2 linked regions of the Anolis sagrei genome follow. The protein of the gene in region 1 binds, or shares a complex with, the protein of each later gene. Links are inferred from orthologs where the notes say so. Each region holds a gene or a part of one and is shown on either strand. Other genes may lie near its edges. The genes, in order: protein capicua homolog and YWHAQ.

Region 1 (16,235 bases):
AAACGTGGACTGTCTACAGACGTCACACTCAACTCCTGAAACTATTCCATCAGCACTCCAATATGTCACAAAACCAATGTGCTGTTCCAGCAGACACCAGCCATCCCCTCTCTAATGCCAGAAATACAGCTTAATGGTGTCACTTTAGAAAATGTTGACCATTTCTGCTTCCTTGGCAGCCACCTCTCCACCAAAGTCAACATCGATGCCGAAATACAACACCGCCTGAGCTCTGCAAGCGCAGCATTTTCCCGAATGAAGCAGAGAGAGACCAAGGTGCTTGTTTATAGAGCTATTGTCCTCCCAATCCTGCTATACGCATACGAAACGTGGACTGTCTACAGACATCACACGCAACTCCTGGAACGATTCCATCAGCACTGCCTCCGGAAAATCCTGCAAATCTCTTGGGAAGATAGGCAGGGAAACATCAGCGTGCTGGAAGAAGAAGCAAAGACCACCAGCACTGAAGCGATGGTCCTCTGCCATCAACTCCGCTGGAACGGACACGTTGTCCGGATGCCTGACCACCGTCTCCCAAAGCAGTTGCTCTACTCCGAACTCAAGAATGGAAAAGGGAATGTTGGTGGACAGGAAAAGAGATTTAAAGATGGGCTCAAAGCCAACCTTAAGACTGAGAACTGGGAAGCCCTGGCCCTTGAGTGCTCCAGCTGGAGGTCAGCTGTGACCAGCAGTGCTGCAGAATTCGAGGAGGCATGAGTGGAGGGTGAAAGAGAGAAACGTGCCAGGAGGAAGGCGCATCAAGCCAACCCCGACCGGGACCGCCTTCCACCTGGAAACCGATGCCTCCACTGTGGGAGAAGATGCGGGTCGAGAATAGGGCTCCACAGCCACCTACGGACCCACAAGGAAACCCATGACGGAAGACCATCTCACTCGTCCAACGAGGGATCGCCTAAGTAAGTAAAGGTGTGTTCCAATTGTGGGAGTTGAAGTCCAAAACACCTGGGGGAGGGAGAGGGGGAGGAGGGCCCAAGTTGGCCCAGGCCTGCATGATCTTATGCAACTAAATTGGGAAAACCGTTCCCTTCCTGGCTTAAAAGGGTGATTCCCCGTTGAATGGTGCGGCCTTGACTTCGAACGCATTGACTCCAGGAACATTGTTTTTGTGGCTGCCACAAACTACATGGAATGGGTTGAGCCTCGATGGGGAGAGATCTGTGTTGGTGGTGGTGGTGCAGGGAGATGTGGAGGGACGTTTCCTGCACGTTCCCCACGAGGGATTGAATGATGGACCCACTGAGGCAGGGACAGGCAAGCTTTTGAGCTTGCTGTGTCAAAATTTGCCAAAAACCAGAGCTGGTGGAGTTGGTGTGTCAGCTCAGGTCCTCCATCTTTAAAGATTTCAGCAGGGATCCCATCAGGTCCGCTGGCTTTGTTATTTGAGACAACACCATAGGACCCTGGATGGAAGTTGATGTAGATCCATCTTAATAGGACGACTGACCACTGTACTTTTATATATAGTGTTTTTAAAGTTGTTTTTGTAATTGTGATATATGATATTTTAATGAGTGTATACGTTTTTATGGCTGGAAACCGGGCTGAGTCCCTCAATGAGGTTGAGAAGCTCGGTATAGAAAACTGTGAAATAAATAAATAAATAAATAAATAAATAATTCTTTTTGTTGCCTGATGGTATTGCTGACTTCTTCCAACCTAGGCAGTGCTGCAAGCTCATCCCTGGTTTGTTGTTGTGGGATTTAGTGTCTAGGTCCAGGGAAGTCATGCTCCCCATGCTCTATTCCGCTTTGGTTAGACCACTTTACCTGGAATATTGTGTCCAATTCTGGGCACCACAATTCAAGAGAGATATTGACTCTAAGCTGGAAAGTGTCCAGAGGAAGAGGGTGACTAAAATGATCCAGGGTCTGGAGAACAAGCCCTATGAGGAGCGGCTTAAGGAGCTGGGCATGTTTAGCCTGAAGAAGAGAAGGCTGAGAGGGGATATGATGAGAGCCATGTATAAATATGTGAGAGGAAGCCACGGGGAGGAGGGAGCAGATCAGGGGTCTGGAGAACAAGCCCTATGAGGAGCGGCTTAAGGAGCTGGGCATGTTTAGCCTGAAGAAGAGGAGGCTGAGAGGGGATATGACAGCCATGTTTAAATAAGTGAGAGGAAGCCACAGGGAGGAGGAGGGAGCAAGCTTGTTTTCTGGAACAATGGCTTCCAACTACAAGAGAGGAGATTCCACCTGAACACGAGGAAGAACTTCCTGACTGTGAGAGCCGTTCAGCAGTGGAACTCTCTGCCCTGGAGTGTGCTGGAGGCTCCTTCTTTGGAAGCTTTGAAACAGAGGCTGGCTGGCCATCTGTCAGGGGTGCTTTGAATGCAACATTCCTGCTTCTTGGCGGAATGGGGTTGGACTGGATGGCCCAGGAGGTCTCTTCCAACTCTTGGATTCTATGATTCTAGGATTCTATGAACAATGCTCAAATGTGCAGATGTTAAATTTGTAGAGCCTCTTACACATTGAAGGATGGAATTAGATTGGCTCTTATAAGGTGTACTTCTCTGTATGCATGTGGCCGCATGTCATCAAAAATAGCTATGCGTGTCAGTGCTGACACGCGTGTCATAGGTTCACCATCAGGGCACTGAGGGAAGGATGCCATGGATCCCCAAGGACAACAACAACCACCACCACCACGGTGTGGCCGAGTCTCCTTCCTCTCCTTGGTGGGCGGCTGGCGTTGGGTGGGGTGGGGGGGTGTCTCTGGCCAAGGCGCGCCAGGCATGCGGCTAAGCGTCCTGCTTAAGCCCCTCAGAATGGCAACAGCTGAGGGGGAAGCCAAGAGGGCAAAGGTCAGCCCAGAGCCTCTCCCACCCCCACTACTTTTCAAGGAAGGCGAAAATAACTCCACACAGAATCATCCGGAAGGGAGTGGATAATGGGGGGGGGGGGGGAGGGGGGGGCAGGACTTGGGGGTCCCCAAACGCCCGCCCGGCACAGACTCTTAATCCAGGTTGAGCCGCCAAGACAGATGGGCCTGGACCGTGGGGGGAGGGGGGGGGAGGCACCTGCATGCGGTGGAATGGGGGGGGGGGAGGATGAGGGGCAGGGACCCCCCATCAAAGGGAGGGGCTAGTCTGGGTGCCACCCCTTCCCCACCTGTTCCTAGCCTGCCTGGTGGGAATTTCTCCAACCCTGACCCTTGACTCTTGACCCCTGGCTGAGGGGGGGGGGGGGTCCTTCTGCTTTGTTGTTCTCCCTCTTTCACATTTCCCTCCTTTCCACCACTTTTTTTTCGGGGGGGGGGCTTTTTTTGCCCGCCATAACCCTTTGCCCCCCCTTGACCCTTGACTTTTGACCCCTGGCCGGGGGGGGGGGGGGTCCTTCTGCTTTGTTGTTCTCCCTCTTTCACATTTTCCCTCCTTTCCACCACTTTTTTTTGGGGGGGGGGGGGTTCTTTCTTTGCCCTCCATAACCCTTTGCCCCCCCTTGACCCTTGACTCTTGACCCCTGGCGGGGGGGGGTGTGCTTCTGCTTTGTTGTTCTCCCTCTTGCTCCTTTCCACCACTTTTTTGGGGGGGAGGGGGCTTTCTTTGCCCCCTATAACCGTTTGCCCCCCCCCAAAAGGGGGGAGGTTTTGGGGGAGGACCACCTTTCTGGGCCCCGGTTATTTATAAATAGGACACCACATTATAAATAATGCGGCATTATGATTCCCACTCTCCATATATATATAGAGAGAGGGGGGGGGGCATTCTGGCCATGCTCAGAGGCATGCTTGGGCACCCCAGGATCGTCCCCCCTCCAAAAAAAAATCCCTTCCCCTCCCAGCAAACCTTTGATCACTAAGAGATACCCCCCCCCCAATATTGGTGTCACCTTCCTGCTGCCCTTTGACCCCAGTTCACCCCCCCATCACTAGGAGGGAAGGGCCCACAAGCGCCACTGAGGGGCCACTTCCGGAAGTGCCTTTTTCTCGCAGCCCCTTCCAACAGAAATGGGGGGGGGGGTCCCAAAAGAGTCACCCCCTCCCCAAAAAAGGGCACTTCCAGGAAGGAAGAAGAGGGAGGGGCTCAGTTTGCCCCCCCCCCCCCACCGAAGTGCAGGCATAAAAAGAAAGAAAGAAAGAAAGAAAGAAAGAAAGGAGGAGAGAAGAGAGGAATGAAAGAAAAAAAGGAAGGAAGGAAGGAAGGAAGAAAAGATAGAAGGATGGAAAGAATGGAGGAATGAAGGAAGGAAGGGATGAAGGAAAGAAAGAAAGGGTTAGCTGTTGCCTTTTGCTGGAAGATTACTTTGGTTTTCCTGATGTTCAATGACAGGCCGAGCTTCACGTATGCTTGTTTAGAGTGGCTTGTAGGTCTTCTTCTGAATGCGCACAGACTACATTATCATCAGCATATTGGAGTTCCATAACAGCATTGTAAATCTTCTTCTGAATGCATACAGTATGATATCATCAGCATACTGGAGTTCTATAACAATGTTGTAAGTCTTCAGAATGCCCATAGACTATGTTATCATTGGCATATTGGAGTTCTATAACAATGTCGTAAGTCTTCTTCTGAATGCGCATGGACTATGTTATCATCAGCATATTGGAGTTATATAACAATGTAAGTCTTCTGAATGCACACAAACTACATTATCATTGGCATATTGGAGTTCTATAACAGCATTGTAAGTCTTCTTCTGAATGCCTACAGAGTATGTTATCACTGGCATACTGGAGTTCTATAACAATGTTGTAAGTCTTCAGAATGCCCACAGACTATCTTATCATTGACATATTGGAGTTCTATAACAATCTAAGTTTTCTGAATGCACACAGACCATGTTATCATTGACATATTGCAGTTCTATAACAATGTTGTAGGTCTTCTTCTGAATGCCTACAGAGTATGTTATCATTGGCATATTGGAGTTCTATAACAATGTCGTAAGTCTTCTTCTGAATGCGCATGGACTATGTTATCATCAGCATATTGGAGTTATATAACAATGTAAGTCTTCTGAATGCACACAGACTACATTATCATTGGCATATTGGAGTTCTATAACAGCATTGTAAGTCTTCTTCTGAATGCCTACAGAGTATGTTATCACTGGCATATTGGAGTTCTATAACAATGTTGTAAGTCTTCTGAATGCGCACGGACTATGTTATCATCGGCATATTGGAGTTCTATAACAATGTAAGTCTTCTGAATGCACACAGACTACGTTATCACTGGCATATTAGAGTTCTATAACAGCATTGTAAGTCTTCTTCTGAATGCCTACAGAGTATGTTATCACTGGCATACTGGAGTTCTATAACAATGTTGTAAGTCTTCAGAATGCCCACAGACTATCTTATCATTGACATATTGGAGTTCTATAACAATCTAAGTTTTCTGAATGCACACAGACCATGTTATCATTGACATATTGCAGTTCTATAACAATGTTGTAGGTCTTCTTCTGAATGCCTACAGAGTATGTTATCATTGGCATATTGGAGTTCTATAACAATGTCGTAAGTCTTCTTCTGAATGCGCATGGACTATGTTATCATCAGCATATTGGAGTTATATAACAATGTAAGTCTTCTGAATGCACACAGACTACATTATCATTGGCATATTGGAGTTCTATAACAGCATTGTAAGTCTTCTTCTGAATGCCTACAGAGTATGTTATCACTGGCATATTGGAGTTCTATAACAATGTTGTAAGTCTTCTGAATGCGCACGGACTATGTTATCATCGGCATATTGGAGTTCTATAACAATGTAAGTCTTCTGAATGCACACAGACTACGTTATCACTGGCATATTAGAGTTCTATAACAGCATTGTAAGTCTTCTTCTGAATGCCTACAGAGTATGTTATCACTGGCATACTGGAGTTCTATAACAATGTTGTAAGTCTTCAGAATGCCCACAGACTATCTTATCATTGACATATTGGAGTTCTATAACAATCTAAGTTTTCTGAATGCACACAGACCATGTTATCATTGACATATTGCAGTTCTATAACAATGTTGTAGGTCTTCTTCTGAATGCCTACAGAGTATGTTATCATTGGCATATTGGAGTTCTATAACAATGTCGTAAGTCTTCTTCTGAATGCGCATGGACTATGTTATCATCAGCATATTGGAGTTATATAACAATGTAAGTCTTCTGAATGCACACAGACTACATTATCATTGGCATATTGGAGTTCTATAACAGCATTGTAAGTCTTCTTCTGAATGCCTACAGAGTATGTTATCACTGGCATATTGGAGTTCTATAACAATGTTGTAAGTCTTCTGAATGCGCACGGACTATGTTATCATCGGCATATTGGAGTTCTATAACAATGTAAGTCTTCTGAATGCACACAGACTACGTTATCACTGGCATATTAGAGTTCTATAACAGCATTGTAAGTCTTCTTCTGAATGCCTACAGAGTATGTTATCACTGGCATACTGGAGTTCTATAACAATGTTGTATGTCTTCTTCTGAATGTCTACAGACTATGTTATCATTGGCATACTGAAGTTCTATAACAATGTTAAAAGTCTTCTGAATGCGCACAGACCATGTTATCATTGGCATATTGGAGTTCTATAACAATGTTAAAAGTCTTCTGAATGTGCACAGACCATGTTATCATCGGCATATTGCAGTTCTATAACCATGTTGTAGGTCTTCTTCTGAATGCCTACAGAGTATGTTATACTGGCATACTGGAGTTCTATAACAATGTTGTAAGTCTTCAGAATGAGCACAGACTATGTTATCATCGGCATATTGCAGTTCTATAACAATGTTGTAGGTCTTCTTCTGAATGCCTACAGAGCATGTTAACATTGACATATTGGAGTTCTATAACAATAAGTCTTCTGAATGTGCACAGACTATGTTATCATCGGCATATTGGAGTTCTATAACAATGTTGTAGTTCTTCTGAATGAGTACAGACGATATTGTCATCAGCATACTGGAGTTCTATAACAGATGTTGTTATAGTCTGCTGAGGTTGAATAGCTTGCCGTCTGTCCGATAGATGATTTCCACTCCGGTGGGAAGCTTCCCATCAACAAGGTGAAGTATCATAGCGATGAAGATGGAGAATAGAGTTGGGGCAATAACACATCATTCCTGTTTGACACCCGATTCCACCTTAAATGGGTCACTTTGGGAGCCATTGCTATCCAAGACTGTTGCCATCATGTCATCGTGGAGGAGCCGCAGGATGGTCACAAATTTGTTTGGGCACCCAATTTTGTGGAGGATGGTCCAGACAGCGCTGCGATTCACTGTGTCGAATGCCTTGATAAGGTCCCCAGCGGAGGTTAAAAGGGAGATACCTCGATAGTTTCCGCAGTCTGTTCTTTCCCCCTTTTTGAAGAGAGTGATGATGGTGGCGTCCTTGAAGTCGGCTGGGATTTTCTCGGTCACCCACACTTTTTCTATGAGCCAGGGGAGTTGTGGTGCCAGCTCAGGTCCTCCCTCTTTGAAGATTTCAGCAGGGATCCCATCTGGTCCACTGGCTTTGTTATATTTTTGTTGGCTGATGGCATTGCTGACTTCTTCCAAACTAGGCTGTGCTGCAAGCTCATCCCTGGTTCGTTGTTGTGGGATTTAGTGTCCAGATCTAGGGAAGTCCTGCTCCCCATGCTCTATTCCGATTTGGTCAGACCACATCTGGAATATTGTGTCCAATTCTGGGCAGCACCATTGAAGAGAGATATTGACTCTAAGCTGGAATGTGTCCAGAGGAGGGCGACTAAAATTATCAAGGGTCTGGAGAACAAGCCCTATGAGGAGCGGCTTAAGGAGCTGGGCATGTTTAGCCTGAAGAAGAGAAGGCTGAGAGGAGATATGATAGCCATGTATAAATATGTGAGAGGAAGCCACAGGGAGGAGGAGGAGGGAGCAAGCTTCCTTTCTGCTTCCCTGGAGACTAGGACGCAAGGGAACAATGGCTTCAAACTACAAGAGAGGAGATTCCATCTGAACATGAGGAAGAACTTCCTGACTGTGAGAGCCGTTCAGCAGTGGAACTCTCTGCCCCGGAGTGTGGTGGAGGCTCCTTCTTTGGAAGCTTTTAAACACGGGCTGGATGGCCATCTGTCAGGGGTGCTTTGAATGCAATATTCCTGCTTCTTGGCAGAATGGGGTTGGACTGGATGGGCCGCCAGGTCTCTCCCAATTCTAGGATACTATGTTCAGCTGTGGAACTCTCTGCTTCGGAGTCCAGCGGAAGTTCCTTCCTTGGAGGCTTAGAAGCAGAGGCTGGGTGGCCATCTGCCGGGGGTGCTTTGAACGCGACTGTCCTGCTTCTTAGTCCACCAGGTCTCTCCCAATTCTAGGACTCTCTGATTCGACATACTGTTGCGGGGAGTTCCAAAGGCGCCTGTAAATGAAGGCTCCTTCTTTGGAAGCTTTGGGGCTGGATGGCCATCTGTCGGGAGTGCTTTGAATGCGACTGTCCTTCTTCTTGGCAGAATGGGGTTGGACTGGATGATTGCCCATGAGGTCTCTTCCCTCTAGGATTCTATGTTCAGCTGTGGAACTCTCTGCCTCGGAGTCCAGCGGAAGGAAGTTCCTTCCTTGGAGGCTTTGAAGCAGAGGCTGGGTGGCCCATCTGTCGGGGGTGCTTTGAACGCGATTGTCCTGCTTCTTGGTCCTCCAGGTCTCTCCCAATTCTAGGATTCTCTGATTCGACATACTGAGGCGGGGAGTTCCAAAGGCGCCTGTAAACAAAGGTTGACTGACGTTAGGATGAATTGCGGGTGGGCGGGGCTTTCCTTTGAGCTGCACGTGAGGACCTGTTTGCGTGCACACGTGTGTCCGGACACGTGTCCACGCGCCGCCGCCGAGAAGGAGGAGCCCTCTCTCTTTCCCGACTTCCGCGTCTCTGGGCAAGGCGCGCCGGGATTGGCTGCCGGGCTCGGCGGCAGGGGCCAATGCGGGGCCGTGGCGGTGACCTCATCCCTCGGCCGCCCCGGGTTGGGATTGGCCGCCCCTCGCGCCCCACGTGGGGGAAGGAGGGAGGGGGTCCCGGCGCGGGCGCTGATTGGCCGCGGAGGAGGCTTCCGCTGTTGCTGAGGGAGAGCCGAGCAGGCCCAGCGCGGAGAGAGAGAGAGAGAGGCCGGCGGGCCCGGAGCGGTGAGTGGAAGCGCATGCTAATGGCATGCAAATGAGGCCCCCCCCAGAGGGAGGGAGGGAGGGAAGGAGGGAGGGGGCGCCGGGCTGGGAGCCCCCCTCCTCCTCCTCCTCCTCAAGAGTTGGCTCCGCGGGGCCTGACGGGAGCTGTAGTCTTTCCCCGGGGACATCCTGCAGAGAGGGCCGCCCCGAGGACTACAAGTCCCGTGAAGCCTTGCGCGGAGGCCAATGATGGAAAGCATTGTGGGAGCTGTAGTCTCTCAGGATTCACCTACAGACTCTTTCGGCTGCTGCAAGGAGACAAACATCCGGCACCTCCCTCGCCTGGGAGAGCGACTGAGGGGAAATGGGGGCGGGGCCTCGCTCGCGGTGCACCCCGGGAGTTGTAGTCCGGACTTCCGGGTTCCCTTTTGCCCCTCCTCCCTCGCACAATAACTCCTAGGCGCCGGGAGTTGGAAGGAGGGAGGGCCGGAGGGGACTCAAAGGACTACAACTCCCATCCTGCCCCTCCGGCGCCAAGTAAACAAGCCCAAGGCCTTTAACTCCGCCCCTTGGTCCTCATTAGGGAATGTCTCTGGTTCCCGCCCATTTCGTCTGCGATTGGCTACTGTAAGTGCTCCTCTCCCTTGAGGGGCGGGGCTTCCCTGTCCCTCTGAGGCACCGATAGGCGGCGCTTGGTGCCCGTCTGACGGGGGGAGAAGGGGCGGGGCAATGCGCCATCCCTCGCGCACGGTGATTGGCCGCGCGGCCTGCCCGTCACGGAGTTGTGGCCTCGGATTGGGCGGCGCCTCCAGCTGGTCCGGATTCATTCACCATTTTGTCTGTTGGAGTAAAAAGCGGCCGAGAGGGGGCTCCGGCTGGCAGAGAGGGGAGGGGGCGCCGGAGGAGGAGGAGGAGGAAGAGCGCCCCCCACCTGAGGAGGAAGGAAGGAAGGAAGTAGAGGTCACGCTTCCCCAAGAGGACCCGGAAGTGGGGCTGGAGGAGGCAAGAGGTCAGGGGTCGCAGGAAATGGGGGGTGGGGAGGGAGGGATCAAGGGTCACGGGGAAGGGGAGGGGGCGGAAGGAGGGAAAGGGGGGGTGGCAAGGCGGAAGTTGGAATCTCCAAGTTTACCTCCCCCTGAATAAACCCGGAAGTGGAGACCCTCCAGAGAAAGGGGCCCAGAAGCCGGGGGGGGGGGCTTTAAGGGAACAAGGGCGCCCCTGAGCATAAGCAGAGGGCCGTGACGTCATCGCCCTCTCTCCAATGGGGAGGGAGAGGAGGGGGCAGGGTTTCCCTTTTGGGGGGTTCCCTGGGGTCAAGGGGAAGTGGCCTTTCTGGGAGGGAGGGGTATTTGGATGGACAGCAAAGCCATGTCCCGCCCTACTTCCTGTTTACTTCCTGTTTACTTCCTCTGCCCGAAGCGCCTCCCCCCTCCCTGCCCTTCCTGGGGGGCAACAAGGCCCTGCTTGGAGGCAGGCGGAGTCCCCTCCCACACAGCCAAATACTACAATAATATTATAATGAGTTACAATATAATACTAATACTAATCTATCTATCTATTCTATTCCATATATATATACAATATATATATATATTGTCGAAGGCTTTCATGGCTGGAATCACTCAGTTCTTGTGGGTTTTTTCGGGCTATATGGCCATGTTCCAGAGGCATTTCTCCTGACGTTTCGCCTGCATCTATGGCAGGCATCCTCAGAGGGAGTGAGGTCTGTTGGAAGTAGGAAAATTGGGTTTATATATCTGCACATCTTAACACCTCTCAACAAAAGATTTTCCCAGGCTCAGCCAGGCCTTCAAATGCTAATGAAGGTGGTCAGTTGAAACATTCACCCCTAGCTTCAGCAGACAAGAGTTCTTTGTCCCACCCTGGTCATTCCACAGATATATAAACCCATTGTCCTAATTCCAACAGACCTCACTCCCTCTTAGGATGCCTGCCATAGATGCAGAAAAAACCCACAAGAACTGAGTATATGTATATAAATGCTCTTTGCATAATGAGTACCTTAAAAACAAAAGAACCAATGAACGAAATCACACCAAATTTGGCAAGAAAACATCTCACAATACAAGGAGTGACCGTCACTCAAAAAAATTTATGATTTTCTCATTTGGGAGTTGTAGTTGCTGGGATTTATCGTTCACCTACAATCAAAGAGCATTCTGAAATCCATCAGTGATGGAATTGAACCAAACTTGGCACACCGAACTTCCATGACCAACAGAAAATACTGGAAGGGTTTGGTGGGCATTGACCTTGAATTTGGGAGTTGTAGTTCACCAACATCCAGAGAGTACTGTGGACTCAAACAATGATGGATCTGGACCAAACTTGGCACAAATACTCTATATGCCCAAATGTGAACACTGATGGAGCTTGGGGAAAATAGAGCTTGACATTTGGGAATTGTTGTAGTTGCTGGGATTTATAGTTCACCTACAATCAAAGAGCATTCTGAAACCAACAAATTATAGAAGTGGACCAAATTTTCACACAGAAACCCCACGACCAACAGAAAATACTGGAAGGGTTTGGTAGGCAATGACCTTGAGTTTGGGAGTTGTAGTTCACCTACATCAAGAGAGCACTGTGGACTCAAACAATGATGGATCTGGACCAAATTTGGCATGAATATTCCATATGCCCAAATATGCTCACAGATGGAGTTTGGGGGAAATAGACCTTGACATTTGGGAGTTGTAGTCACTGGAATTCACAGTTCACCTACAATCAAAGAGCATTCTGAACTCCACGAACGACAGAATCGGGGCAAACTTCCCATACAAAACCCCCATGACCATCAGAAAATACTTAAGGCCACCCAATCCAACTCTCTTCATCAGGGCAAGAAAACATAATCAAAGCCCTCCTGACAGAGAGCCATCCAGTTATAGATATAGATAGATAGATATGATTCAGACACAGAGATTTGAAAGAAACCCTTAAAGAAGGACAATGATTTGTTGCATGTTCCAGAGTAGGCAAACCAGTCACTCTCCACATCAACACTTACACATCAACCCATAAAGAAATTACATAGATTAGAAACCAACGCTTGCTCATTATTTTATTTTCCAGATCAACAGACTGGGCCACAGCAACGCCTGGCAGGGGACAGCTAGTAAAATATAAGAAGTATACTATTGTATCACATGTAATATTACTAACAATATTACAGTATAGTGCTATTTTATTTATTTATCGTGTCAGGAGCGAACCAAAACAGTTGTATTGTATTACAAGCAAACAAACAAACAAAACACAAACTTTGCAGACATGGCATTCTATTAAATGTCATTTGACCAGTCGCTGGACACTTGGAGTGCCTTGGGTGTTGCACTATACCACTACAGTATAGTGGTATAGTATTATTATTATTATTATTATTAACTTTATTTGTACCCCGCTAACATCTCCCAAAGGACTTGGTGTGGCTTACAAAGGCCAAGGCCCTCAATAAAACAGCATAACAAATACAACAATAAAACTCATAAAGCAAAACATACATTTCCATATTGTACTAACATTACAATATAGTAATATAGTACATTAGTATTATGTATTACTATATTGGGTTTTTTGTGTGTCAGGAGCGACTTGAGAAACTGCAAGTCGCTCCTGTTGTGAGAGAATTGGCCGTCTGCAAGGACGTTGCCCAGGGGACGCCCAGATGTTTGATGTTTTATCATCCTTGTGGGAGGCTTCTCTCATGTCCCCACATGAGGAGCTGGAGCTGATAGAGGGAGCTCATCTGCCTCTCCCCAGATTCGAACCTGCGACCTATCGGTCTTCAGTCCTGCCGGCACAGGAGGGGCTTAACCCACTGTTTCTCAAGTCACTCCTAACACGACAAAAAAAATAGTAATACATAATACTAATATTGTACTGTGCTAAATATTGTATACACATATAATAGTGATAATAAAATAATGTCATACAATATAATACTAATAACAATACAATATAAAATTATATATTTTATATTACTAATAATATTACAGTATGCTGGTGTAGTACAATATGGAAATGTATGTTACTAATATTGCACTATGCTAATAATATAATATATTGTATTTACTCTGAGTCCCCTTTGGGGTGAGAAGGGCGGCATAGAAATGTCATCAATCAATAAATAATAAATCAATCAATCACCCAGAATGTCAAGGGAGATCATCCACAATATCTGCTTTGAATAATAATAATAATAATAATAATAATAATAATAATAACTATTTGTACTCCCCAAGGGACTCGGTGCGGCTTACATGAGGCCGAGCCCAAATACAACAATACAAGCAATAATAACAACAATACAAGCAATTAAAATAAAAAAAACATGGACAATAAGATATGCGACATTATCAATAAGACAACACCTTTGAACTGGGTTATCTGAGTCCACACTGCCAGATAATCCAGTTCAAGGTGGGTTGTATAAAGCTGTGCATTAGGGGCCTACACCGTAGTCTACACTGCTGTATAATCCACTTCAAAGCGGATTATAATCTGGATCGTATATGGCAGTGTAGAAGGAGCCGGTGGTGCAGCAGGTTAAACCACTGAGCTGCTGAACTTGCATACCAAAAGGCCACAGGTTCGAATGCAGGGAGCAGGGTGAGCTCCCGCTGTCAGCCCTGGCTTCTGCCAGTCTAGCAATTCAAAAACATGCAAATGTGAGTAGATCAATAGGTACCACTCTAGCGGGAAGGTAATGGCTCTCCGTGCTGGATGGCCATCTGTCAGGGGTGATTTGAATGCAACATTCCTGCTTCTTGGCAGGGGGTTGGACTGGATGGCCCATGAGGTCTCTTCCAACTCTTTGATTCTATGATTCTATGCAGTCATGCTGGCCACATGACCTTGGAGGTGTCTATGGACAAAGCCGGCTCTTTGGCTTAGAAATGGAGATGAACACCAGAGTCCCAGAGTTGGACACAACATGGCTTAATGCCAGGGAAAAACCTTTACCTTTAGGGGCCGGAGGCACACAGAACAGGAACGGGAAAATACTTTTAATTTCCAGATCCTTATTTGCACGTTCAGACCCAGAAATGGTCCACAGAGCTTCCCCAAAGTGTATTGTGTCCCCGCTCCCCATGATTCGGCTTATGATCCATACTAATAATAATAATAACTATTATTATTATTATTATTATTATTATTATTACTATTATTATTATTTCATCTCTTACCCAGCTCTCCTTGTGGCTGGAGGCAGGTTGCAGCATGATTAAAACACATGAACACTGCAAAAAAAACCCTATAAAGATACATAAAAACATGTTAAAATACAGAGACACAAGTCATGAGTTGAAAATTCGGGAGTCCTCCTACCAGAAGAGAGAAGCCTGAGATTCCAACAGCTGTTCCCACTCTCCACACTCTTCTCCAGCATAGTCATGAATTCTGCATGTCCTGAGTGGATAATAGTACCATCTATGCAAAGTGTGGTGCTGAGAGCCATTTATAAGCTTGGGTTCTCCAAACTAAGTTCCAAACTAAGAGCAGCAACTGAACGTTTTACTATTTGCTTATGAGTTTTATTGTGATATTCGTATGTTGTTGTTTGTTGCGGCCTTGGCCTTTGTAAGCTGCATCGAGTCCTTCCGGAGATTTTGCGGGGTATAAATAAAGTTGTTAATAATAATAATAATAATAATGTGGCCACACAGCCTGAAAAAGTTATGACACCCCAGAACCTGTTTTGAATCTGGTTCCCAAACTAATCCCAATCCATTGAACAACCCGGATTGTGTTTCCTGAATGGCCTGGTATGTTTGTGGGACTTGTTCTTGGATCGGGTTGTCATTGGACTACGGACAAGCTTTTGATAGACTCTCTGGTCACAGAGACCTTGAGGGAGCTGGGGGTGGTAACGGCCAACAGGGAGCTCTGGCGTGGGCTGGTCCATGAGGTCACGAAGAGCCAGAGACGACTGAACGAATGAACAACAACTGGTCACAGAACAGTTTTTTTTTTTAAAAAAATTGAATTGATTTAGTTGTAGTTGCATATAAATTATTTGCATAAAAATTTGCATAAAATTATTTATATGTAATTTTTTTATTATATGTATATAGGGGCATCGAATCATTGCCAGCTATAAGCTACCCTGAGTAGGGTGGGGCATAAAAAATTAAGATAAATAAATAAATAAATTGCAGACAAATTCGAATAATCTTAGTGCTCCAGGGGAGGGGGGGGGGCTTCCTTTGTGATGATATATTTCTGTAATGAGCTGATCTATACCAATTGCCACCAAGATGGATTAATTAGGCTACTTTAATTTTGCAATTCTTCCATTCCAATTTCTGCCCGCTTCCTTTGGTGGAGCCCTCTGCTGCTGAGGCTGGGGGCCCTTCCCTCCTCCTCCTCCTCCTCCTCCTGGCCCCAATCCATTGCGTTTCCATGTGTCCTTGGAGTGCTTTCCTGGGGGAGGAGGGGGAGAAACGCTGGGCCTGCCTTCGTCTTAAATTCACTGGGTGGGAATGAGTGCCCCCCCCACCCCATGCAATGGAATCCTGGGAGTTGCAGGTTGCATTCCTTTGGTAGAGGAGGGGAAAGGCCTCCCAGAGGACCCCTCCTCTTCCGATTGCGATCTTTGGGGTTTGGTTTAGCAGATCCTCTCAGGCTGGGATGGAGCGGTGCAATAAAGCGTCCTCTGCTGAATGCTGGTGACACGCCAAACTACAAATCCCAGGATTCCATAGCGTGGAGCCATGGCAGTTCAAGTGGGGCTAGTGGAGTTGAGGTGGGAGCCCTGTGTGTGTGTGTGGGGGATGTGTGTCCTTTTGTGCTTTTTGCGCTTATTTATTTATTGTTTATTATTGATTTCCCCCCTTTATCTCCCACCCTTCTCAACCCGGAAGGGGACTCAGGGCGGCCTGACCAAGGCAACAATTCAATGCCATGTATTAATACGTTGGTAAATAAACAAAAACATTGAAAACAAACCCATTAAAAAGCATAAAATCACATGATCCAAATCATATTTCCGTTCAGCTTTGGGACCCCTCCCAGCATCCTCTTGGGCAACTATGGGTCCTGCAACATCCTCCCCCGGCTGGAAGTATCATTGGGATAGCCACAGAGTTGGGGGGGGGGGGGGACACAA
Region 2 (15,403 bases), on another chromosome or scaffold:
GTGATCAATATTTAACATAATATTTGTTCTGTGTCTGTTCTGCGTTAGCATCCATGCTTCTCCTAAGCTCCAAAAAACATGTTTGCTGAACAATGAGAATCTCTTCTCTTGCATGTATGACATTTGTTTCATATTAATCAGAAGGCCAACTATAGGGTACATTAAATTAACCTGGGTTGTTGTAGGTTTTTTGGGCTATATGGCCATGTTCTAGAAGAATTATCTCCTGACGTTTCACCAGCATCTGTGGCAAGCATCCTAAGGGGTTGTGAGGTCTGTTGGAAACTAGGAAAATCAGGTTTATATATCTGTGGAAGGTCCAGGATGGGAGAAAGAACTCTTGTCTTTTTGAGGAAGGTGTGAATGTTTCAATTGGCCACTTTGATTAGCATTTGATGACCTGACAGTTTTTTGGTGTGGCTTGTTACTGTCGGAGGGGATTCTTTCTTGAAGGGTGATTAGGTGTTCCTGATTATTTCTTCTCTGGACATCCCCTGTGTTTGAGATTTGTTCTTTATTTACTTTCCTAATTTTAGAGTTTTTTTAATACCGGTAGCCGCGAAAAGTGAAAATCCACGAAGTAGGGGCGCTATGTATATATCACATTCCAAGGGTAAGACAGAAGTGAGGAGAGATTTAAAGGCACCACACACCTTTTTTTTTTGTTTAGATATCTCTGCTTTGCTTTGCAATATCTCTTGATTGGTTGCCTCTCTCCCAAGGGGGAGGGTGAAACCCCCTTCCACATTCCATCATGCCAGGAAAAACAGGATTAGAGCGCCGCTCTGGGCAACAGCAACCATTCATAAACTGGGATGCAAAAACCCGTGAAACGGGTCCACAAAAAGCGAACTGCAAAGTAGTGAGGGAACACTGTGTGTGTGTGTGTGTATACACACACACACACATACACAGAGCAGAGTTTCAGAAGTGTTCTTTTTAGTTGGAGGTTGGACGCTACAGACAATGCTGTTGCCTGTTTTTGGTCAAAAGATATTTAGCCACTTGTGCTCCTATTTTTAACATTTTTGTACTAATTTATGTAATGCTTTTGATATGAAATAATGATGACGACGACGATGATGATGATAATAATAATAATAATAATAAAAACACGAGAGGACATACAATTGAAAACTATTTTTCCACATTTCCAGAGGCCCTGCACCCTTAATCCCAGAAAATGTAGAGGATGCATTAATTGATATTAAAAACAACCATTAATGTGCCCAATTCACCCTCCACATTCTCTGGGAGCAGAGGCACAGGATCCCTGGAAATGTGGGGAAACCATGAGCAAAAAACATGAGAGAACAGCTGTCTTGGAATCTAGTCCTGCATGACCTTATGGACAACATCCAACAAAGCTGACTATTGACTCACACTGGAAAACCTAGAGAGTCCTGCAGAGTTGTTCTCTCTAGGAATCTCTAGGTCGTCCAGCATGACTTTATGATCAATGTCTGGTGGGAAATGAGTGGAATAACTAGAGTTTCCCAGCGAGAATATTTTAATCAAGTCTGTAAATAATCAACTCCATAAAAACCAAGCCCACAAATCTGGGGGTCAACTGCCGTTAAAAGTCCTTTCCTTAGTAACAGGGTTGTTGCCAAAATCATTGTGAGATTTGTTTTGTTTTCTGTTTTTAAAAAAGACCTTGCTTTCTGCCTGAAGGACAAGGAAACAATCAGCTTGGCCTTGCCTACTAAGGAGGTCAAAGATTTGGAAGCAGCCAACAGACATTGAAAAAACCATTTCCCCATCTCTTCTATCTGTACTCCTGAGGATGAAGACCTCAAAGCTCAAGCATGGTTATGTGGGAGAATACAGTCCTTCAAATAGCCCAGATCCAAGTCAAATAGGACGTCACAGGTCATAACCAGCATTAGGCAGAACACTTGAGGTGAACCTGGCTAGTTGCCTTGCAAAATCTTGAACTGACAGACTTTATTCATCCCATCCAGAGTGAACTATCATCTGGCAGAAGCTCCCATCTTAACCGTAACTGCCTTGAAGTAAGCCTAACTTAACACAAGGGGAACCTATTTCCAAGTAGCTATGGTTACCATCGGACCATTTGTACATTATGACTCAGAACATAATTTAAGCAACATAGAAAGAAAAAAAATGTTTTCCAGTTGCTTTGGGTGGATGCGGTCTGAGTTCATTTTACTAAATGCCATTGTTACAGGACATTTTCCATATGGGATAAAGGGACAGGGTTATGATTTCTGTTCTAGCCACCATCTGAATTAAACCTCAGTTCCACATTGTTGGCTGAATTTTGAAATGTCTTGGTTTTTCTCTCTCCACTCCACTTTCACCTTTTGGCCTCAGCTTTCTTCAGTTTCTGCAGGCTGAGGCCCCTTCCACACAGCTGCATAAAATCCTACATTTTCTGCTTTCAAATGGAATACATGGCATGACTCAGATAACCCAGTTCAAAGCAGATATAGTGGGATTTTCTGCCTTGATATTCTGGGTTGTTTGGAAGGGTCCTTAGAGAGGAGGGGAGAGTCTTGCCTTTTCCAGTACATTCAGGCACAAGGAACCTCAAGTGCATCTACAATGTGGAATTAATGCAGTTGGACACCACTTTAACTGCTATGGCTGCATGCTATGGAACCATGGGAGTTTAAGGCTATATTGCCCTATATCTATTCTCTGTTTTGAACTGGATTATATGAGTCTCCACTATCAGATAATCAGGGATAAGAAGATAATTTGGGATTTTTTTTTCATGTCAGGAGTGACTTGAGAAACTGCAAGTAGCTTCTGGTGTGAGAGATTTTAACTATTTTAATATGTGATATTATAGATGTATTTAACTATGTTGTGCTCCATCTTGAGTAGAAAGCAGAGGCAGGTAATAAATAAAATATTATTTATTAAATGGAAACAATTAAAAATAGAACAGCTTTCAAATAAAAGCTACTTCTTCAAAAACATCCAGTCTGCAAAGGCCTTTTTATGAAGATGCCTATTATTATTATTATTATTATTATTATTATTATTTTATATTATACTTATTATTTTACTTGTCTCACCTAAAAATAGGGGGTACTGATATAAGCAATGCAGGTGCTTCTCGCCATCCCAAGAAAGGCACCCCAAATCTTAGAAGCCACCACTGAAAACACATTGTCTTTGTATCCCTACCAAAGAAGATTGCAGGAACAGTTCGGTTTAAACTTCAATGCAGGAACTGGATGCTTAGATCTCAGAGAGATGCTTTGGACTATGGACTGTTGCTTCTAAGGAAAATGCCCTGTGATACCTACAAAGATAAACTACTACAAAATCCTATTGTAACTGGATTCATAAGCAAAGTGCCTGTATGCTGTATACATGAAGTTTTGTGAGTAAATCAACTGTTACTTTTAAAGAAGACTTTATTTTGTCTCTTGAGAGCATGATTTAAAGGCAAATATATTTTAAGGGAGAGTAGATCTTTTTGGGCAACTAAAAAGGAATACTTCTGAAACTCTGCTAAATATATGTTTTTGTTCATTGACATGTCTTTGTCCTTAGCAGTTCAAAGACATACCTAGGTACATCAGTTCAACAGCTGAGAGACCTAGTTGCCTTGCATGAATGCTGGTGAAAGCAATTTTTTTCCCCAAAAGGTTGTGATTTCTAACAAGGTCATGCCTTTCCATTGATGAGTGGATTTCCAAAAAGGTTATGAATCCCATTTCCCAAATGGTTTTGGAGAGTCACATTTTCCAAAAAGGGCGATTGTGCCGGAGGTGATAATGTAGGTAACCTGGCCCCTCAAACTATGGGTAATGTTTATTTTTTATTTATTGTTGATTTGATGTGTTATTATTTGTTCACTTTCTTTTTATGTATCTAACTGCACTTCTTCATGTTATGACCTGCCCTGAGTCCCTCGGGGAGATGGGCCTGGGTACAAATAAAGATTAATATTACTATGTTTTTTTTAAAAAAAATAATGTTATTGAAAATTTTTACATAGTAGGTTGATATTACTATGTTAAGGATCAGTGTAGATGTGTATGTTGTGTTGTTGGACTCAGACTACCACCAGTCCTGGACATCTTCCACTAATGGGTTCCATTTAAAGAATAAAACAAAATGACATCTTCCCTATGCTCTTTATGCAAATCGCATATTTTTCTAGACCTACTCATTCCACCAAGACATTGATATAATGCAACTCAAAATTCTCAAAGTGTCACAAATCCTTAGTTAAACTTACCACAACAACTCCAAGTGATGGGGTATCCTACCTGCTCTGTGACTTTACACAACATACTCATACATCTATATAAATAAAAATGTAATGTTAGTTTGTGGGATTAACATAACTCAAAAACCACTGGACGAATTGACACCAAATTTAGAAACAATAACACCTATCAGGCCAACAAGTGACCATCACCCATAAAAAAAATTGAAAAACACAGCAAAAAATGCTTTAAAAGCATTTTTTTAAAAAAAAAAATACAATGCATGCACAAAACCACATATACAAAAAATATATACACTCATATACACATACAAAATACATATACACAGACTGGGCCACAGCAACGTGTGGCATGGGATGGCTAGTACTGTATAAGAAAGCAACAAGTAGGTAGACCCAATATCCTTTCTAACAAAATAGGGTAGGTTTTTTCTATTTAAGGTAATGATTCTCAGAAGATGATCAATAACAATCCTGCTAATTTTGAAAACACTGATCAGGTTATGTTAAAGATTCCCAAGCTCTCATTTGATTTTTGTTTTGCTATTATGTATAAGAGACACCGTTTTATTAGGCTGTAGGGGCAATGGCTCACCAGAACATGGCATATAATGGGACTTGAGCATCCACGGATTGGAGTATCCACAAAAGATCCTGGAACCAAACCATAGCAGATTTCAAGGGTTCAATATATGCCTACCGAGCCCACACTTTGCACATCAGAGAAAGTGAGGCTGAACCCCTGGAAGTTCATGCCAAATATTATTATGATACTTTTCACCTGCGCTCACAACTTCTGAGGATGCCTGTCAAGAGATGTGGGCAAAACGTCAGGAGAGAATGCTTCTGGAACACAGCCATACAGCCTGGAAAAAATCACAGCAACTTAATTGTTATTATTAAAATGATTTTAAAATATTATTTAATTTAAATATGTTATATTTAAGGTGACATTTCTTTTTTGTTGTTGATGCAACAGATTCAGCAGCCATTACTGTTGCTGTGGACAAGATACTTGGAGGGATGAGAGTGACCGCAGGGGGATTGGCAGAGTGGGTGAAGGTGGTGGTTAATGCCTCCCTTTGGGAAAATAACATTCCAGTGAGCTCAAAACAAGCTGTGATAAAAACTGCTGTTGAAAAAACCATCACTGGACCCCACTCAATTCGTCAACTATCGACCTGTTTCCAATCTACCCTTCTTGGGCAAAGTCCTGGAATGTATGGTGGCCTCACAACTCAAGGTATTCTTGGAAGACATGGATTATCTGGACCCAGCACAGTCTGGTTTTAGGCCGGGACATGGTACCAAGACAGCCTTGGTTGCTTTAGTGGATAATCTACGCCAGGTGCTAGACAGGGGGAGTGTGTCCCTGTTGGTTCTGCTGGACCTCTCAGCGGCCTTCAATACCATTGATCACAGTATCCTTCTGGGATGCCTCACAGGAATGGGCCTTGGAAGCACTGTTTTGCAGTGACTCCAGTCCTTTCTGGAGGGTCGCATCCAGAAGGTGTTGTTGCGGGACACCTGTTCAACTCCACAACCATTGTCTTGTGGGGTTCTGCAGGGCTCAATACTGCCCCCATGTTATTTAACATCTACATGAAGCCACTAGGGGAGATCATCTGGAGTTTTGGGGTGCGGTGTCACCTGTATGCAGATGACATCCAACTGGACTGGATGAGGGCAAACAAATAGAAATTGAATTCAGACAAGACAGAGGTACTCCTGGTCAGTCGTAAGGCTGAACAGGGCATAGGGTTACAGCCTGTGTTAGACGGGGTTACACTCCCCCTGAAGGTGCAGGCTTGCAGCTTGGGTGTGATCCTGGATTCATAGTTGAGCCTGGAACCTCAGGTCTGGGTGGTGACCAGGAGAGCATTTGCACAATTAAAACTTGTGTGCCAGCTGTGCCCGTACCTTGAGAAGTCTGATTTGGCAATAGTAGTCCATGTTCTGGTTACATCCCATATGGACTACTGCAACGTGCTCTACGTGGGGTTGCCTTTGAAGACTGTCTGGAAGCTAGAAATGGTCCAGCGTGCGGCAGCCAGGTTACTAAGAGGAGCGGCGCTCAGGGAGCATACAACTCCACAGTGCGCCAGCTCCACTGGCTGCCAGTGTGCTACCAGGCACAATTAAAAGTGCTGGCTTTAGCCTATAAAGCCCTAAACAGTTCTGGCCCAACTTACCTATCCGAACATGTCTCCCCTTATGAACCTTCCAGGAATTTAAGATCATCTGGGGAGGCCCTGCTCTTGATTCCACCTGCCTCACAGGTGGGCTTGGTGGGGATGAGGGACAGGGCCTTCTCAGTGGTGCCCCCTCAGCTGTGGAACTCCCTTTCTGGGGATATTAGATCGGCCCTCTCCCTCCTGACCTTTAGGAAAAATCTGGCTCTTCGACCAAGCTTTTGGAACCTCATTGTAACCAGATATACTGTGAACGGATATGGAACGACTTGACGATGCAAATGGACATGGATTTAAACCTGGAAGTCATTTTTTATAGTTTTAAATTGTTTTAATATGAATTTTATTATGTGATTTAATGTATTTACGTGTCTTCGGCATCTAATTGTGGCCAGTCTGTATGCCGCCCTCAGTCGCCTTTGGGCTAAAAAGGGCAGGATAAAAGTGTGATAAATAAATCCATACATAAATATATAACGAAGGGCCGCGTTTGCAAGGCAAGGCAAGGGGCGAAGCATCAGAACTCATTAGCTTTGCAAAAGCCTCTTCCTGGCGCAGAGGAAAGGGTATATTGATAGGGATTAGGAGAGGAGCTGCCGCTATTTCTGGATCCCCGCGAGGCCATGGCTGGTCATGCCTTGTAACGTTGCCCGCTAAGCCCCTGCGAAAGCCACCCTCCTTGGCTTTGAAGGCGGGATGCCTGCTCCAATTCCGGCATTTCCTCCGCATGGAGGACTCAAGGTCTTTATCTGCGGCTCGCATTCCTCCCCTGAAGACTTTGACCTTCCTTCCTGTGCTGCTTGGTGGAGGCAGCAGCAGCAACTCAGCATGCATGGCAAACCCTCCTCCTCCTCCTCCTCTCCCGTTTGCTTTTCCCTCCCGCTTTGCAAGGAGCAGCACGAGACGGTGCCTGACTCCCTGCCCTCGCTTCCGCACCGTCTCGTGCCTCGCCCTGGCTCCTAGGGAAGAGCCGCTTTTGCGCATGTGCGGGGGAGAAAAAAAAAAAGAACAAGGGAGAGGAGAGGAGGGGGGTTGTAGCGGCGTCGCTATGGCGACAGTGACGTCATCCCACCCTGGATCTAATTGGAGGAAACCCCGTGGCCCCAGCTGCCGCAAGCACCGGCCAACCGAGCTTGGGCCCTGCTGGTTAGCTTAGTCCTCTCCGCGGCCGCGCGCATGGCTGCCATTGGCCGCCAGGGACCTCGAAGGCGGGGCCCGGGCAGGGATCGCCGGTGCCGATTGGCCGAGCCGCGAGAGCGCGGGCCCTTGCCGCGGAGTGGGTTCGCGCTTTGTGCCAACGCCCTGTAGCAGCGACGCTGTTCCTCGCGCCTGCGACGGGAGCGGCTTTCTGTCTCTCTCTCTCTCTCTCTCTTCCTCCCCCGCCCTCCTCCTTCCTCTCCTTCCTTCCGTCCTTCCTTGCTTCCTTCCTTCCTTCCGAGCGCAGTCGACTTGAGCAGAAGGCGCGCGCCGGCACGGCCTCGCGCCCCCCTGAGACTCAGCAGCGGCAGCAGCAGCAGCGGCGGACTCAGGTGAGGGAAAGGGGTCGAGGAAGAAAAAAAAGAGAGAGAGGGCGCGAGGGCACGTCCTCGCGCCGCGGGTGGCCTCGCCTCTCTTCGCCTCTCCTCGCGGTGGCGTCCATTTTGTGGAGGACGGAAGAGCCGCGGAGGGAAGAGAGGCAGCTAGAAAGAGAGAGACACACACACACACACACAGAGAAAGAGAGGCGGCACCTTCACCACCAGCGCCGCCATTTCGCACCGGCCTTTTCTGGAAGGCAAGGGAGGCGCCTCTCGGTCGAGTGGGCCTTCCCCTGCCCTGCCCGCTCACCTTCTTTTCCTGCCGCCCTTCTGAAGGGAGGTGGGGGAGCCCTTCTTCCTTTGTACCTCCTCATCCCCTTCCTGATCCCCTTGTGTTTCACCGTTTTGCTTTCACTCCTCTCTCCCCTCACTCCCTTTTGCTGTCCTCTCTTTCCGCCTCCTTCCCCTTTTTTCTTCCCTCCCCTCCCCCATTTTCCTCCTTCCCTCCTTCCCCTCCCTTCTGCGGACAAAGATTTCACACCTTGGGCGCGCCCTCCTCTTTCTCCTCGCTCCCTCCTTCTTCTCCCTTCCACACAGCCCTCTTTCCCAGAATATCAAGTCAGGAAATCCCACAATACTTGCTTCGAACCGGGGTATCTTGGGGGCCCTTCCACACAACCCTCTATCCCAGAATATCAAGGCAGGAAATACCTGCTTTGTACAGGGTTATCTGAGGGCCCTTCCACACAGCCCTCTTTTCCAGAATATCAAGGCAGGAAATCCCACAATACCTGCTTTGAACCGGGGTATCTTGGGGGCCTTTCCATACAACCCTCTATTCCAGAATATCAAGGCAGGAAATACCTGCTTTGAACCAGGGTATCTTGGGGGCCCTTCCACACAACCTGCTATCCCAGAATATCAAGGCAGGAAATCCCACAATACTTGCTTTGAACCGGGGTATCTGGGGGCCCTTCCACACAACTCTCTATCCCAGAATATCTCACATTATTTGCTTTGAATTTGGATATATAGAATTGTGGACTCAGATAACCAAGGGCCCTTCCACATAGCTGAATAAAATCTCGCATTTCTGCTTTGAACTGGAATATATAGAAGTGTGGGCTCAGGGCCCTTCCACATTACTATATAACCCAGTTCAAAGCAGATAATGTGAGATTATATACAGATGTGTGGAAGGGGCCTTAGATAACTCAGCGCCCTTCCACACAGCCCTATATCCCAAAATATCTAGTTAGAAAATCCCTCATCTGCGTGTGGACTCAGATTTATATATTTTTTGTTCGTGTCAGAAGCGACCTGAGAAAGTGCAAGTCTCTTCTGGTGTGAGAGAATAAGCTGACTGCAAGGACGTTGCCCAGGGGACGCCCAGATGATTTTGATGTTTTATCATCCTGTGGACTCAGATCACTCAGTTCAAAGATATTCTGGGATATAGGGCTGTATGGAAGGCCCATTACCTTTGAAAGGAGTCTTACCCACACAGTGATGTGAAAGTCACTCTATGTTGGAATCCTGATTTTTTTACTTATTCTATTTTGCCAGGCATTGACAACACCTGAATAGTTCAGAATATCTGCCAGCCTCATATGACCAACCAGGGAAGGGCAGGGTCAGACAGTGCATGGACACAAAAGCCCTTTTTGATTTGGGGCCCTTCCACACAACCATATAACCCAGAATATCAAGGCAGGAAATCCCACAATATCTGCTTTCAGGTGGGTTATCTGAGGGCCCTTCCACTCAGCCCTATATCCCAGAATATCTGCTGGGTTTGAGTTCCTACTCAGATAATGTGCAATTTTCTGCCTTGATATTCTGGGACATAGGGCTGTGTGGAAGGGCCCTAAATTATCTGAATCCACACTGCCGTATATTCCAGTTCAAAGCAGATTTTCTGCCATGATATTCTGGGATATAGGACTGTGTGGAAGAGCCATCAGATAACCCAGTTCAAAGCAGATATTGTTAGATTTTCTGCCTTGATATTCTGGGCTATATGACTCGGTGTGGAAAGGCTCCCACTCCTGGCCTTTCTTCTTGGCCCCTCTTTTGGCTTTATTCCTGTTGCTCATTTCCTTGTTTTGCCTGCCAGGCTTTCCCACCTCAAGGTGCATTTATACTGCAGAGTGAATGCATCATGGCACCCCTTTGTAACTGCCATGGATCAGTGCCGTGAAATCCGAGGTCTATAGATCTGTGAAGCACCTGCCCTCTTAGGCACAGATGGCTAAACACCCACCCTTCTACACAGCTATGTAACCCAGAATATTAAAGCAGATAATCCACGATATCTGCTTTGAACTGGGACCCCTTCCTCACAGCGAATCCCACATTTTCTGCTTTGAACTGGAATATATGGCAGTGTGGACTCAGATAGCCCAGTTCAAAGCCGATATTGTGGATTTTCTGCTTAGATATTCTGGGTTATATGGCTGTGTGGAAGGACCCTGGGTTATCTGGGTCCATACTGCCATATATTCCAGTTCAAAACAGGAAATGTGGGTTTTTATTCAGTTCAGTGGGCCCTTCCACACAGCCCTATATCCTAGAATATCAAGGGAGGACATCCCACATTATCTGAGTGTGGACTCAGATAACCCAGTTCAAAGCAGATATTTTGGGATTTTCTGCCTTGATGTTCTGGGTTATTGGACTGTGGAAGGGGCCCCAGGGCCCTTCCACAGAGCTATATAACACAGAGTATCAAGACAAATAATGCATAATAACTGCTTTGAACCAGGTTATCTGAGTCCACACTGCCATATATTCCAGTTCAAAGCAAATAATGTGGGATTTTATTCAGCTGTGTGGAAAGGGCCCCAGTAAAAGGGCAACTCCCAGGAGTCCACAGGATTGAACCATGCCAAGCAAAGGGGGGTGTCGACTGCATTAATTCAGCAGAATAGACGCAGCCTTTGCCTCTCCCGCACCCGGCTTCCCTATTCTAGCCCTGCATGCCTCTGACGCCCTTCTGCACATGTCTTGCATTCTTATTAAAGGCTGCCCTTGATTTGAAGGCTTGATTCTTATTTCTGCAAATAGCACTCCTCCCCATGACTTGATCTCTTTGCTTCTGATTTACAAAAGAAGGGGCTGAATAGCTTTCAGATGCTGTTGAACTGCAGCTCCCATCCTTCATAGCTATGGATGTTGGGTAGAAATGATTGGAACCACAGTTCAACAGCAACACCCAGAATATCCAATCCTGAAGTAGGGACCTCTGTCCCGATCACTATTTCTAAGCACTGTAGGTACACCTGCACTGCACAATTTATGCAGTTCCATACTTGGTTAAGGGTCATGGCCCAAATATATGGGATCATGGGAGTTGTGGTTTTGCAAGGTCTTAAGCCTTTTGTGCCCAAGATGTCTTGTGCCCCACCAAACCACAATTCCCAGGATTCTACAGCACTGAGCCACTGTCCTTAAATTAATGTCAAACCGCATCAGTTCTACAGTGTAGATGCGGCCTTAATCGTAGCAACACAGTTTGAAGCTGCATTGTATGTGTCTACACCATACATGCACAACCCGTGACGCTCAGAAGTGTTTTGGACTTCAGCATTCTGACCATTGGACTAAACTAGGGCTCCTGGGAGTTGGATTCCCAAACATCTGGAGACCACAGATTGTGCTGGTCTGGTCTACATTGACCATATAGTGCAGATTCAAACTGTATTATGTGACAGTGCAGATCCAGCCGGATTGCTATCTTAGGCTGCATCTGTCATATAATCCAGTTCAAAGCAGATAATCTGGATTTTATATGGCAGTGTAGATGGGGCCTTAGGTGACATCCTCAGGGGAGGAGGATCATTTGACCTTTTCTAAAGCTATGTTTGTTCTGTTCTTGCATCTACATTGGCAGCACTTCACTGTTGCTCTCTTTCTCATTGGCCTGACTCCCCACATCCATAGTAGCTCCTCTAGTTGCTTTGAGCAATTGCTTACTTGGAATGAGCACAGATTTCAGAACGTCTCCTTGTGCTTGCAGGTTTTCTGGTGCCTTCTCTTGACTGTGTGAAAGGCCTCTCTCTCCTCCCCAAGCCAGTTGTCTCGCTGCTTATACTGCTGCTGGCCAACATGGAGAAGACCGAGATGATCCAGAAGGCCAAGCTGGCTGAACAGGCGGAGCGCTATGATGACATGGCTACCTGCATGAAGGCAGTGACAGAACAGGGCGCTGAATTGTCCAATGAAGAACGCAACCTGCTTTCTGTGGCATACAAGAATGTTGTAGGGGGGCGGCGCTCTGCTTGGCGGGTGATCTCTAGCATTGAGCAGAAAACCGATGGCAATGACAAGAAGATGCAGCTTGTCAAGGACTACCGAGAGAAAGTGGAATCTGAGCTTAAGTCCATCTGTACTACGGTTCTGGTAGGTTGGCTTCATCTTACATATTATTAACCTGCTATCCATATGATAGAGAATTAAATGGAAGAATCCCCCATTGCTATTAATTAATTGTTACATTGTGTCTTGTACCTTATCCAAAAAGACAGACTGATAGAAAATACAGAATTTCGTGGTGCTGTGTTGTTGGAAATTTTAAATCTGCCAATAGAAGCTTAGTTCTAATTCTCAGAACAAACTTCTAATGACTTTTCACCCATTAGCTTATGTTCCTCTTGCTTGTGTATTAATTTACTGTATTATCGTTTGGACTGTTTGGAGAACATCTACTGGAAATAATGGAGAACAGGCAAGTGAATAAGCATGATGTCAGGAGGTGATTGTGAAAAAACCCCAAATATTGCCTACTGTAACAACCCAAAATATCAAGAAATAGGCATGCTGCTATGAGAAAACTCACAGCATTTTATATTTTGAGTATATTTTCTTTTTATTTCATTAAACATGTTTCTGTGATGTTTAAAGAGAGTATGACTTTGGCTATTACTGCTTCTTTATTATTCCACATCTGGGGTCCCTCGCCATTCTTGTATCATGTACTTTATAGATTATATGGAGTACTGATTTGACATTATTTCCACACCATTTTACAATTGTCTATTTTAATTGCCAAGTAAACTTTTTTTATTTGCAGGATACATCATATTACTGCCAGAAGAGTTTAAGAATGTATTCTTGAAGTATTGCTTCAAGAATGGGTTTACTCTAAAAATGTGGATATGAAGGCATACCCTTGATACACATATATGCACATATATACAGTAAACACATGTTGAATTCTTTCAACAGAGTGATACCTAATAAACACAAGAAAATTAATTAAGATATTTTCTAAATATATATCTACTCCCAGAAACTTAAAGGCCTTAGGCCTTCAAAAATTATTTTGATATTTTTTTTATTTTTAAACGCATATACTTGGGCTTAATATATTAACAATCCATCTTGCACCCATATTTGCCCAGAAGTACAAAGATAGCATGACAAGTTGTTACTTGATTATTGTAATGCAGGCTATTATACACCACACATTTTGCAGCAATTGAAAAAAAATACACCTCTGCTAAGTTTTGGCTTATATCAGTGGTTCTCTCTCAACATGTGGGTCCCCATATATTTTGGCCCTCAACTCCCAGAAATCCTAACAGCTGGTAAACTGGCTGGGATTTCTGGAAGTTGTAGGCCAAAACACCTGGGAAGCTACAGGATGAGAACCACTTGTTTAAATGCTTTGTGTTCTTTTAGGCTTAAAAGACATGATTACAGTTTCCAACCGCATCAGTACATAGTCCCCGTCCCCCCCAGATTTATATTTGCAGAACAGATATTAAAGTAGTAAAAATTAAGGTTTTTTTTAAAAGAACAAACTGAAAAGACAAGATTTCATTCAAATAAAAAATGTTTGATTTTATTAAGTGCTGATACTAGAAATTATTGAGAACTTGGGAAGGCTCTTGCTTTTTTTGGTGCATAATATAACAGTAATAAGGATACCAGGTGAGTTTTGAGTGCCCCAAGGGTGAAGTGCCATTACCAGAAAACCTACCTCTCCAATTGCATCCCAATGCGTTTCAGATAATTACATCAAAGAGGGAGTGGTCTCAGATGAGCATTGAATTGGCAGGTGAATTGAATCAAGAGTTCGACATAAGATTTTGTTGAAAACCTTGTTTGTTGGACTTTAACACTGGGATCAGCAACCTGGGCCTTCTGAAAAGGTTGTTGGACTGTAGTCCCTCAGCATTGGTTGATAAAAGTTACAGTGTAACCACATCTTGAGGACCCATTCCTTTGAATTAAGTTTGGGCACTTTGTGAGCTGGGAAGTTCTTTAGCGTAGTCAGATGATTATTTGCCTGAATGTTGTTAACAGACTAGATGTTGTGTTCTGGATTAGCTGCAGTTTCCAATCTATTCTTAAAGGCTAACACAAGTCAATGCGCTTCCATAATCCTATCCCAAGTTACTAAATCACAGATAGTCCGTGAACAAGTTATTGCATCTTCTTGCTTCTTTCCCTTCATTGACCTTCTTCACAAACTGTTGCAAATTAAACTATTTATGAAATTCTGTTTCTTGCTTACTTAAATGGTCTGCTGATGGAAAGCTTCCCATTCACTGAAATATAATGGGTATGCCCCTGGATCTTGACTAGTATGTACAGGTTACATTATTGAGCAATCCACACTGTGAAATTTAGGGAGCTCACCTTATGAAATTCATTAAATTGACAACCAGTTTGAATGCACGCATGCACACAGATTATATGATTAAGGGAGGTTAGTGCCTTCTATTTTACCTAAAATAACATCAGTTTTTAAGTTCAAAAATTTTTAACCTGTGCTCTCTTAAACCTTTGGTGGGAAATTCTGACCTGTGTAGAATTTTGTTAGCTCCAAGAGAGACCTCTTTTTCATACCAAAAGGAAGTAAATAGAACTCATTTCTGGTTTTTGAGGAAGCCTCCACCTGAATTTAAAATACCTTCTGTTGGGGGACATGATATAATTGCTTTTCATGTCCCCTAAAGGGCGTGAGGGGCATTTTTCAGTTTAAAATATGTGTAGGGAGTGGTAGGATACTGTATACAAGCTGCACTTTGACTGCCCATGAATCATAGTGAAATGTTCACTCTAGGAATCTATCAGTCCTCCAGTGCAATTTTGTCGTTAGCATCTGGTGGGTGTTGACCAAGAAAAATGACCTAGAGATGTGTTCTTTTAATTAAAAAAAAAGGTTTTTTTAATGTGTGTTTCCCAGCCTGTGAAGGGGTGGTGTATAATCCAACTAATGCTAAATAGCTGTATCCTTGCACAGTGGATAGATTTGAGCATAACTTTTAATTTGAAATTGGTGAGTCTTAAAGCTGCTTTTCTCAAAAGGTTTATTGCAGTATAAAAGCTTTGTGGGCAAAACGTTTGTAATTTTTCTTAATGTGTCAAAAGTATTTTGTGCAAGGGCTAATAATCCAGCTATGTTAATAGCTTAGAATATGTAGTATAAATAATAGCAGACATGAGCAAATATGACTTGTCTTAAAATATTT

Evidence for each region.
Region 2: the proteins of protein capicua homolog (region 1) and YWHAQ are in contact, whole or in part, in a crystal structure (PDB 6KZG), measured with the Homo sapiens proteins. The link is inferred for Anolis sagrei from reciprocal best matches to the Homo sapiens genes CIC and YWHAQ. Residues at the interface, in NP_001291744.1 of Homo sapiens: Arg1207, Ser1208, Met1209, Ser1210, Glu1211, Thr1212, Gly1213, Thr1214; in NP_006817.1 of Homo sapiens: Lys49, Arg56, Lys120, Arg127, Tyr128, Gly169, Leu172, Asn173, Val176, Tyr179, Glu180, Leu216, Ile217, Leu220, Asp223, Asn224, Leu227, Trp228.

Annotation. Positions count from the first base shown.
Region 1 is NC_090035.1:84,260,371-84,276,605, forward strand, and holds the start of protein capicua homolog, read left to right. Parts: upstream 1-9,002; 5' UTR 9,003-9,124; intron 9,125-9,899; exon of another isoform or gene 9,900-10,112; intron 10,113-16,235. UniProt on the Homo sapiens protein: Transcriptional repressor which plays a role in development of the central nervous system (CNS). In concert with ATXN1 and ATXN1L, involved in brain development.
Region 2 is NC_090021.1:130,704,541-130,719,943, forward strand, and holds the start of YWHAQ (14-3-3 protein theta), read left to right. Parts: upstream 1-7,673; 5' UTR 7,674-7,934; intron 7,935-11,940; 5' UTR 11,941-12,029; coding exon 12,030-12,323; intron 12,324-15,403. UniProt on the Homo sapiens protein: Adapter protein implicated in the regulation of a large spectrum of both general and specialized signaling pathways. Binds to a large number of partners, usually by recognition of a phosphoserine or phosphothreonine motif.